2 linked regions of the Danio rerio genome follow. The protein of the gene in region 1 purifies or fractionates together with the protein of each later gene. This does not show direct contact. Links are inferred from orthologs where the notes say so. Each region holds a gene or a part of one and is shown on either strand. Other genes may lie near its edges.

The links.
Region 2: the proteins of cdk20 (region 1) and fkbp8 purify together in Homo sapiens (affinity purification with mass spectrometry; 5 studies listed by BioGRID and IntAct, with this or other methods). This does not show direct contact. The link is inferred for Danio rerio from reciprocal best matches to the Homo sapiens genes CDK20 and FKBP8.

What each region holds. Positions count from the first base shown.
Region 1 is NC_133183.1:9,036,055-9,040,536, forward strand, and holds the start of cdk20 (cyclin-dependent kinase 20), read right to left. Parts: upstream 3,013-4,482; 5' UTR 2,949-3,012; coding exon of another isoform or gene 2,930-2,948; 5' UTR 2,816-2,929; coding exon of another isoform or gene 2,715-2,815; intron 2,624-2,714; coding exon of another isoform or gene 2,510-2,623; intron 1,012-2,509; coding exon of another isoform or gene 952-1,011; coding exon 823-951; intron 744-822; coding exon 622-743; intron 552-621; coding exon 489-551; intron 1-488. UniProt on the Homo sapiens protein: Required for high-level Shh responses in the developing neural tube.
Region 2 is NC_133197.1:20,760,095-20,764,449, reverse strand, and holds the start of fkbp8 (peptidyl-prolyl cis-trans isomerase FKBP8), read left to right. Parts: upstream 1-1,276; 5' UTR 1,277-1,347; intron 1,348-4,355. UniProt on the Homo sapiens protein: Constitutively inactive PPiase, which becomes active when bound to calmodulin and calcium. Seems to act as a chaperone for BCL2, targets it to the mitochondria and modulates its phosphorylation state.

The sequences.
Region 1 (4,482 bases):
TTCAAAGTGGGTGAGAGATGTGCAAACATAGTTTCTCAGATGTTGATATCTAAAAAAAAATGGCACGATAAAAGATCAAAGATTCTGTTTCAGTTGAGGGGAATCGAAATCCTTTTTTTGATTGGTGACTTCCCTAATTAACCCAATTTGCCTAGTTAAATATTTAACCTAGCTAAGCCTTTAAATTGCACTTTAAGTTGCACTCTAAATACAAGTATCTTGCTAAATTATAATTCAAATATTATTTAAATAAAGAAATTAATTATTAAAAATATTATGTTTAAAATCTCTTTTAAATATCACTTGGGGGATATCTGAAAAGTAATTACAATTTCACAGGAAATTTCTTTTATTTAATGAACGTTTTCATTTTTTTATGAACGGTATCTTCCAAGTATTTTTACAATTAAAAAAACACTGCAATCTTATAAATTATTATGATTTCATGCCGACTGGAAAAATTAATGACAAAACAACTTAATTATTACCAGAGATCAACTCCTTCGTCATATTTTCGGGCACCGTATAAAAGTTCTGGTGCTCTGTACCATCTGAAAAATAACACAAATGTTTTAGGCATATGATTTCGTATTTATCTTAAACAGACTCAAGTAAACTCACCTGGTGGCCACTTGGTGACTGTAAAGACGATCTCCTTCATTGGAAAAAAGCCTTGCCAGACCAAAGTCAGCGATTTTCAGATGACCAGTCGAGCTGATCAGAAGGTTTGCAGGCTTCAGATCCTATATACACACATACACAAACATAAAGCATAGTACCTGAAACACACCCAAGATGTTGAACACGGGAACACTAGCTCACCCTATGCATGATGGAGTTCTCGTGGCAGAAAGCCACTCCTTTCAGCAGCATCATCATATAACTTTTGACCTGGGATGCGGTGAGAGGACGCTGGGAATTCCTTATGACTTCTGACAGATCTGATAACATGTACTCGAACACCAGCACAAAGCCTGTGCCGTGAGGGAAGACGTCCTTCAGCTTCACAACCTATACAGACGATACAAACATTTATGAAATTGAAAGGATAACGTATACAGTTGAAAAGTCTAAATTATTATACCTGATGTGAATTTTTTTTCCACTTTCAAATATTTCCCAAATGATGTTTAATGCCGAGTTCAGACTGCATGATTTTCAAAGTAGTCGTGTCACAGATGTTTTCACACGGCATGACTATCTGGGCTAGCGTTTTGTCACTGCTTTGTTTACACTGCAAGATGGTACGGCGACAGTATTCGTTTTCACAGTATTTCCTATAGTATTTTTTCTTCTGGAAAAAGTCTTATTTGTTTTATTTTGGCTAGAATAAAAGCAGTTTTTAATTTTTTAAAAAACTTTTAAGGTCAAAATTAGTAGCAATGTATTTTTTGATTGTCTACAGCAGGGGTCACCAATCTCGGTCCTGGAGGGCCGGTAAGTTGGAGCTAAACCCTGCAGAAACACCAGCCTCCAGGAACAAGTTTGGTGACCACTGGTCTACAGAATAAACATTGATTTAAAATGACATGCCTAATTACCTTAATTTGCCTAATTAACATAGTTAAGACTTTTAATGTCACTTTAAGCTGAATACTAGTATCCTGAAAAATATGTACTAAAATATTATGTACTGTCATCATGGAAAATATAAAATAAATCAGTTATTGGAAAAGAGTTATAAAAAGTATTATGTTTAGAAATGTGTTGAAAAAGTTCTTGTTTTCGTTAAACAGAAATTGGGGGGAAAATATAATGGGGGGAACTATTCATCAACTGTACATCTGTTATATTTATTATATTACATGCCTAACATAAATCTGCTTCGGTTGATTCTCTGTTTATCAATCTTACAATTCAAAGCCCACTTCCACTACATACCCAAACAAAAATCATAACCCTAACCCTATATTAATAATAGATGAGTGAACATAAGGGAGGGTTTATCTACTTGTATTTGTTATGTATGTATATATCATGATATAACGTAAAACAGATTAAGAATGTGCAAAATATAGTATATTCTATAATATATAGAAATGGTGCAGTGAGACAGGGTGCTCTGTTAGAGCAAAGATATTCTTCAAATCTTCTTGAAATTGTTGTTTCATTGAGTAAAATGTCAATAATCTGGGAAGAAATAATGAATACAGAGATTATGCTATTGTTATTTTGATAATCAAGAGTAATTCTTCCTAAAACAGACACGAAGGCATCATTCACATCATGGTTTGCTGTGCACTAATTTCAACATTTAATGTAATAATTTAAACATTTATTGCAATAATTTTTTTATGATTGTTTTAAAATTATTGGTGGTTCATTCCGCTGTGGCGACACCTGATAAATAAAGGGACTAACGTTAACCCGAAGAAAAAATGAATGAATAGTTATCATTTACTAAGCGATTCACAGAATCTGAACTTGGTACGACACGGTTTTATGCAAAATAGATGCTCTTCATTCTCCACTGCACAGGTTTGAGAAATGAGTAATGATCATATCTCACATATTGGTTGTCCTCAATCTCTTGCAGGGCTTTAATTTCTCTTAACGCCTGGTTCGGGATGCCATCTTCAAGTCTTCGCAGGGCCACTTTTTTCAAAGCCACTGTCTCTCCTGTCTGAAAACATCAACAGATGAAGTGCACATAGGCCTTTTTATTAGAAAACGGCCTTTTAACATAAAATAAATGAAGATATACATGACACAACCTCAATGTGTTTGGCTTTGAAAACAATCCCGTGAGCTCCTTCCCCAATCCGGCCAAGAATACTATACTGGTCCATTCCGATGCTAACAGTTACACGACTAGCTGGCTAGCAAAACAGAAATAAAAATCTGTTTTATGTCTCAATTAACACACTGACATATATTCCACGCCGTTATTTGACAAAGACAAAATAAAAAGATAAGTTAAAACAATCACTTGCGAGCTGAATGAGCATTTATTGCGAGAAATAACACGATGCTCCGCTGAGGCGACTTGCAGTTGTCATGGAGATTGATTCTGTACGGCAAGCAAATGGAGACAAACTGTATTAGAATGAGAGCGCACTGTGATATAGAACTCATACATTAAAACAAATATTTTTACAATAAAAATATAAATTTAGCATATATTTTAAATATTAGGCTCTTCTAATACGTTAGAACTGGTAAGGCATAAAAAAGCCGTCACGTGGATCGTGTTACTTTTCCCATCGCTGGTCTATGTATACCTAAGTTACCATACTGATCTGCGTTTTAGTTTGTTAGCCGATTTATTGCTTCGTATATATCAGGTGACAGATGCGATTTCCTAGTGTTCAAAATTTAAGTCATTGCGTAGTATATATTACATTATATACGGGTTGTTGAATTCTCAAGTCTTATTGCCTGACTAATGTCTGCGAAATCTGACTCTTCTCTGAAAAACCTGTTCTGATGAAGCTGCAATCAAATAAATTTGCAAACTTACTCTACATAAAGCAAAATACGACATCAGCATAAATGATAAGTGACCTTTTAAACCTGTATTTGTAGAGGGAGTAAACAATTCAATCTGCAAAATGTATGAGACTTACTTTAATGTTGTACAAGAAGTTTGCTTTGAATATTCCACTTTAAAGACTATATGAACATAATATAAAAAAACCAATAATGAATAAATAACAAGCTGACAAAATATATAAACAACAAAATTCAATAGTAATGGCGTAGGCTACGTAATGGGACAATTATGTAAACACAATTTCTGTAGGCCAGTTAGACAAAAAAATAAAATTCAAAGCAAGTTTCTAATGCAACAACATTAAAGTACACAATTCCCATATACGGTGCAAATTAATTTAAATTGTGTCCCCCTTACAAACAGAGTTCACCTATAAACCTATTTACGCTGCTGTATATATTTAGCCAGCAGCTAGCTCACTACAACTCTCATATGGTAGCCCACTGAAGCAAAGTAAGGCTGCACCCGGTAAGTATCTGGATGGGAGACCACATGGCAAAGCTAACTTGCTGGTGGATGTGGTGTTAGAGAGACCAGCAGGGGGTGCTCAACCTGGGGTCTGTGTGGGTCCTAATGCCCCAGTATATTGATGGGGACTCTATACTGCTCAGTGAGTGCCGTCTTTCAGGTGGAGACGTTTAACTGAGGTCCTGACTCTGTCTCCGTGGCATCCTTGCCAAACTTTCCTCTGTCCATCATGGCCTCCTAACATCCCCATATCATAATTGGCTTCATCACTTTGTCTTCTCTCCTCCAATCAGCTGGTGTGTGGTCTGGCGCAATATGGCTGCCGTCGCGTCATCCAGGTGGATGCTGCACACTAGTGGTGGATGAGGAGAAAAATGTGTAAAGCGCGTTGAGTGTCCAGAATAGCGCTATATACATGTTAGGAATAATTATATGATATATCTTGCTCTATAAAGAAAGTTTGCTAAATGATTTAATAGTAGCTTCTTCAGAACAGATTTTTCAGCTAAGTGAGTCAGATT
Region 2 (4,355 bases), on another chromosome or scaffold:
GATTAAGGCTGAAATGTTTTGTTCTGTTGACCATCTCTGCACTTCTGTTGTGATGTGTATATAACCTTGTAACATTAGAAAGAGGTTTGAGCGGCAAACGTGTATTTTGGAGCAGGAAGGCGAATGACAAGAGTTTCCCCTGTACTTTTCATCGTCCTTTCTTGCGACCTGACAGTATTCAATATGAAGCAGTCTCTGTCCCATTGGGTTTGCTTTGTATTTCATTGTAGGGTATAGCTCGGATCTGTGTTTTTAGGGCCTTAGGTGTCTTGTTGTAGGTAAATATGTCCTTTGTATGTTTCTTTATATTGTAAAGTTTCTTTAGACTGAGAAAAAAAGAAAAGAAAATTTGCTTATCAAAAAGAAATGCATCAATAATAAATGTAATTTGATATTTTTGTGCGTTTCAGTTTTTTATATATATATATATATATATATATATATATATATATATATATATATATATATATATATATATATATATATATATATATATATATATATATATATATTAAATATTAAATCATTCATAAGTGATTTGGTAAAAAAAAACATAAATTGATATATTAATTAATATTAATATTAGATTAGTATATTAAAAACAACTAGAAAATATTTCATGTACAGTGGTAAAATTACTAAATAATAATGAAATTAAATTTAATAAATATGTAGGTGATATGAAATCTTAAATATCATCAGTAATTGTTTTAAATTCTTTAAGAATACATGTAATTGTTAAAACATCAGAAACAAAAGTATATAGTTTATTACAAAAGTATAATGTTATATAGCCCTACTTAAAAAATTTTATATTTATTTTATTACATTGATATACATTTAATTCAGTTTCAATATTTATTATTTAATATATAATTGAATGTAGAAAACAATTATGTCATTAAATTTGTTCTATGTAAATAGGTTCAAACAAATCAAATAAATATTAAATATAAACTATGTTTATACGGATATATAAAAATATTTATTTATATTATTAATTTCATATTTTTATCATATGTAATCATATATTGTTAATATAAATTGTTTTAATATTGATAGAAATGTGAATTTAATTGATATATTAAAATATTAAACAGAAATTACTGTCATACACATTTTTAATTTTGGAAGAAAAAAAATAAAATCAATTAAACTGTTGAATGTGCATTTATATTATGGAATATAAAAGTCCCCTCAGTCATTGCAGCGACCTTGACTCTGACTTTTATTTTGTAGTTGTCTGCGATGACCATTGACCTTTACCCGGAAGTTGCAGAGATTGATCTTGTGTTGTTGTGAAAGTTGTTGCTGCGCTGCTCTGAGGTGTATTTTCTTCTCACTGCGGTAAGCTTTTGCTCTTTTACAGCACTTTTCACACGTTTTATTGCACAGAAACATTTATAAGAGAGTTGTGTCATCACGCTGCACTCAGCCGTGCGCGCGCTCCGTCTCAAAGTTGTTGGAACGTTCTGGAAACACTGACATCTCTGCAAATAATAATAAGAGATTTACAGTAAGCATTCGCCCGCGTTCGTAATGAAATACAAACCTTTTGAAGGCATATAAGATGAACATTATAATGCACATTGAAGACGTAGCACTGAATTACAACAGAATATTCACGCGTGGACGATGTGTCATTTCACTTTAACGAAGATTTTATCGGTTATTGAGGTAAAGTTGGTTTTATATTTGTAGATTCTTTCAGTGGCAACTTGTGACATTCTGCCTGTATTGTTTACCATGGTACTTTGAGTATTTAGTCTGAAATCACATGCAAGTTTGACTACAAAACTGTTTAATCGCCTGTGAACAATGTTATACTTTAATAGTCGTTGACTGCTAATATGATTTCACTATTTAGAGTTTTGAAATCATATTATTAAGGAGAAAGTCCAATGGTGTAAAATTAAAACCAACTTTACCTCAATTGAACGATTGTTTTGTCAATAAAAAAGTTTCTAATTATACGATAGCTGGGGTTTATTTATTAAGCAAAATCACTCATAGTAATAGCATGTTTTTACGCGTTTACCATGGTAATATAATGAGTATTTGGAGTTTGTCAGGAATAACATAACATTTGAATAGGGTATAATTCAGTATTAAAAGAACTAAAACTTTAAATAGTATATATAAGTTAAATCTAATAGTCACAATTTAGTAACTATTTTTTGTTTTGGTCAAGTAATAAAGTAATAGGGTTAGACAAACCTTTTTTATATTTTTTTACTAATAACACACATGCCTCTCCTACAAATGAGCACTGAAATTATGACCCATGGTTTCTGTGCAGTATTGCCAAAGTGCCAGGAGTAAAAATGTTACCATTTATCCAACCTGTGGGGCAAGTTGTAACAGACAGGGGGTTAATTGTAACACATGCTTATAAAGGCAGATTTCACACAATTAATTTAAATTCAGTTTACTTTAAATAGTAGCTTTATTTCCTCAGTAATTGACTCTTTTTTATTCTACATAGCACAGTATGTTAATTTATTTATTGGATAAACACATTTGGATTTATTTGCATTATTATTAATTTATACATTAACATTTTTCAATTAAAAAACATTTTTATTTAAAAAGTTCTTAACATTTCATTCAAAATTCAACAATTATTTTGTTAGTTTAATTGGTACCCAACAGTGTGTGGCTTAATTGTAACACCCTGTTTCAACTAACCCCACTGTGTCGTGTTTTCCTCAAAACTGGCTAGAAGTCACTGTGTGTTTATTACATCTTTTAAAATTGTTTCATCTTTTAGCCTAGAAGACTGTAATCACAACAATATAAGATTTTGCATACATACTTTCACAGATTAAAAAAAAAAAAAAAAAAAAAAAAAAAAAAATATATATATATATATATATATATATATATATATATATATATATATATATATATATATATATATATATATATATTTCGACTATAATAAAAAATGCTTTTATGCTACAAAAGTGGTTTCTCCTGTGTTTCTCATCCAAATTTCGCCGAACTTTTTCAATAATTGGCAGGAAGACGTCTGCCGGCACTGTGGTGAAAACCTTGGAAGCATGCCATGGTCAACCCTGAGCAAATACCTTAAAACTTTGTGTTAAATTTAACCCCATGTTACTTTGTGCCCCACGCTGCCCTATTTATGTTTCAGTAAATATAACAATTGATTTAATGGTATCACCTTTTCTATGTTGTATTTTATATTATCTTTTTTTCCTTAATAAAAAAAAGTCTGAACCAATATTAAAATCTCTAATTTACAAGTGAACATCTTACCATTCCGTGTTCATGCAGTTGTATATCTTGCACTGTATTGTTTCAATCACACATCTTCTTAGAGCTGTTATTTAGACTGAATTTGAAATGTAAAATCAGATATTTTTATTAGTTTAGAACTCATCTCTCTACTGTACGATAGATAGATAGATAGATAGATAGATAGATAGATAGATAGATAGATAGATAGATAGATAGATAGATAGATAGATAGATAGATAGATAGATAGATAGATAGATAGATACTAGATTATTGTTTTTCTGCAATATATTTCGATATTGTTTGAAAATATTTACAATATATATTTTGCGATATACTTTGTTATATTGAGGTAAAGCTGGTTTATATTTGGACATTTAAACTGTAACCTTCTTACTATAGTTTCAAAAAAGTAATCTTTTCAAATTCGAAGCAGTGAAATCCTATTAGCTGCCAAAGACAGTCAAAGTACAACATTGTTCACAGTCAGTGAAGTAGTGCTCATTTTGATTTGAAGATGTATACATGCTATTTCAGACCAACCATTCGAAGTAGTGCACCACAAGTGCTTTCTATTCTAAAATGAGTGAATGTGCGAATATAAAACCAACTTTAGCTTAATTGTTATACTTGGAAAGAATTTTTGGTCACACTTTATTTTAAGGTTCAGTTCTTGCTCTTAGCAAACCATTTTGACTTTTGCTTTACTAAACTTCTAGTTTGCTCCTTTAGTAGTTTAGGTGTTGCGTTGGATTAGGGACGTAGAATAAGATCATGCAGAACACGTGGTTTATAAGTACTAATTAGCAGCCACTATCTTAACATGCATGCTAATGGCCAACTAGTTAATAGTGAAAATGAATCCCTATAGTGTTACTGAATGTCTTAATTTTGATTGATAGGGATGATTCTGTAGGGGAGTGAATCGTGCTGAACATGTAATAAGCAAACTTCAAGCATAGATAAATGTAACAAAGCTAAGATGAAGGCAAAATTAACAGTGCATGCATTATGGTTTTGTATATGTAAATGTAAAAATTACACTGCAAAATTAACTGTGAAACACAAAAGAACATCAAAGCTGTTTTTTTCT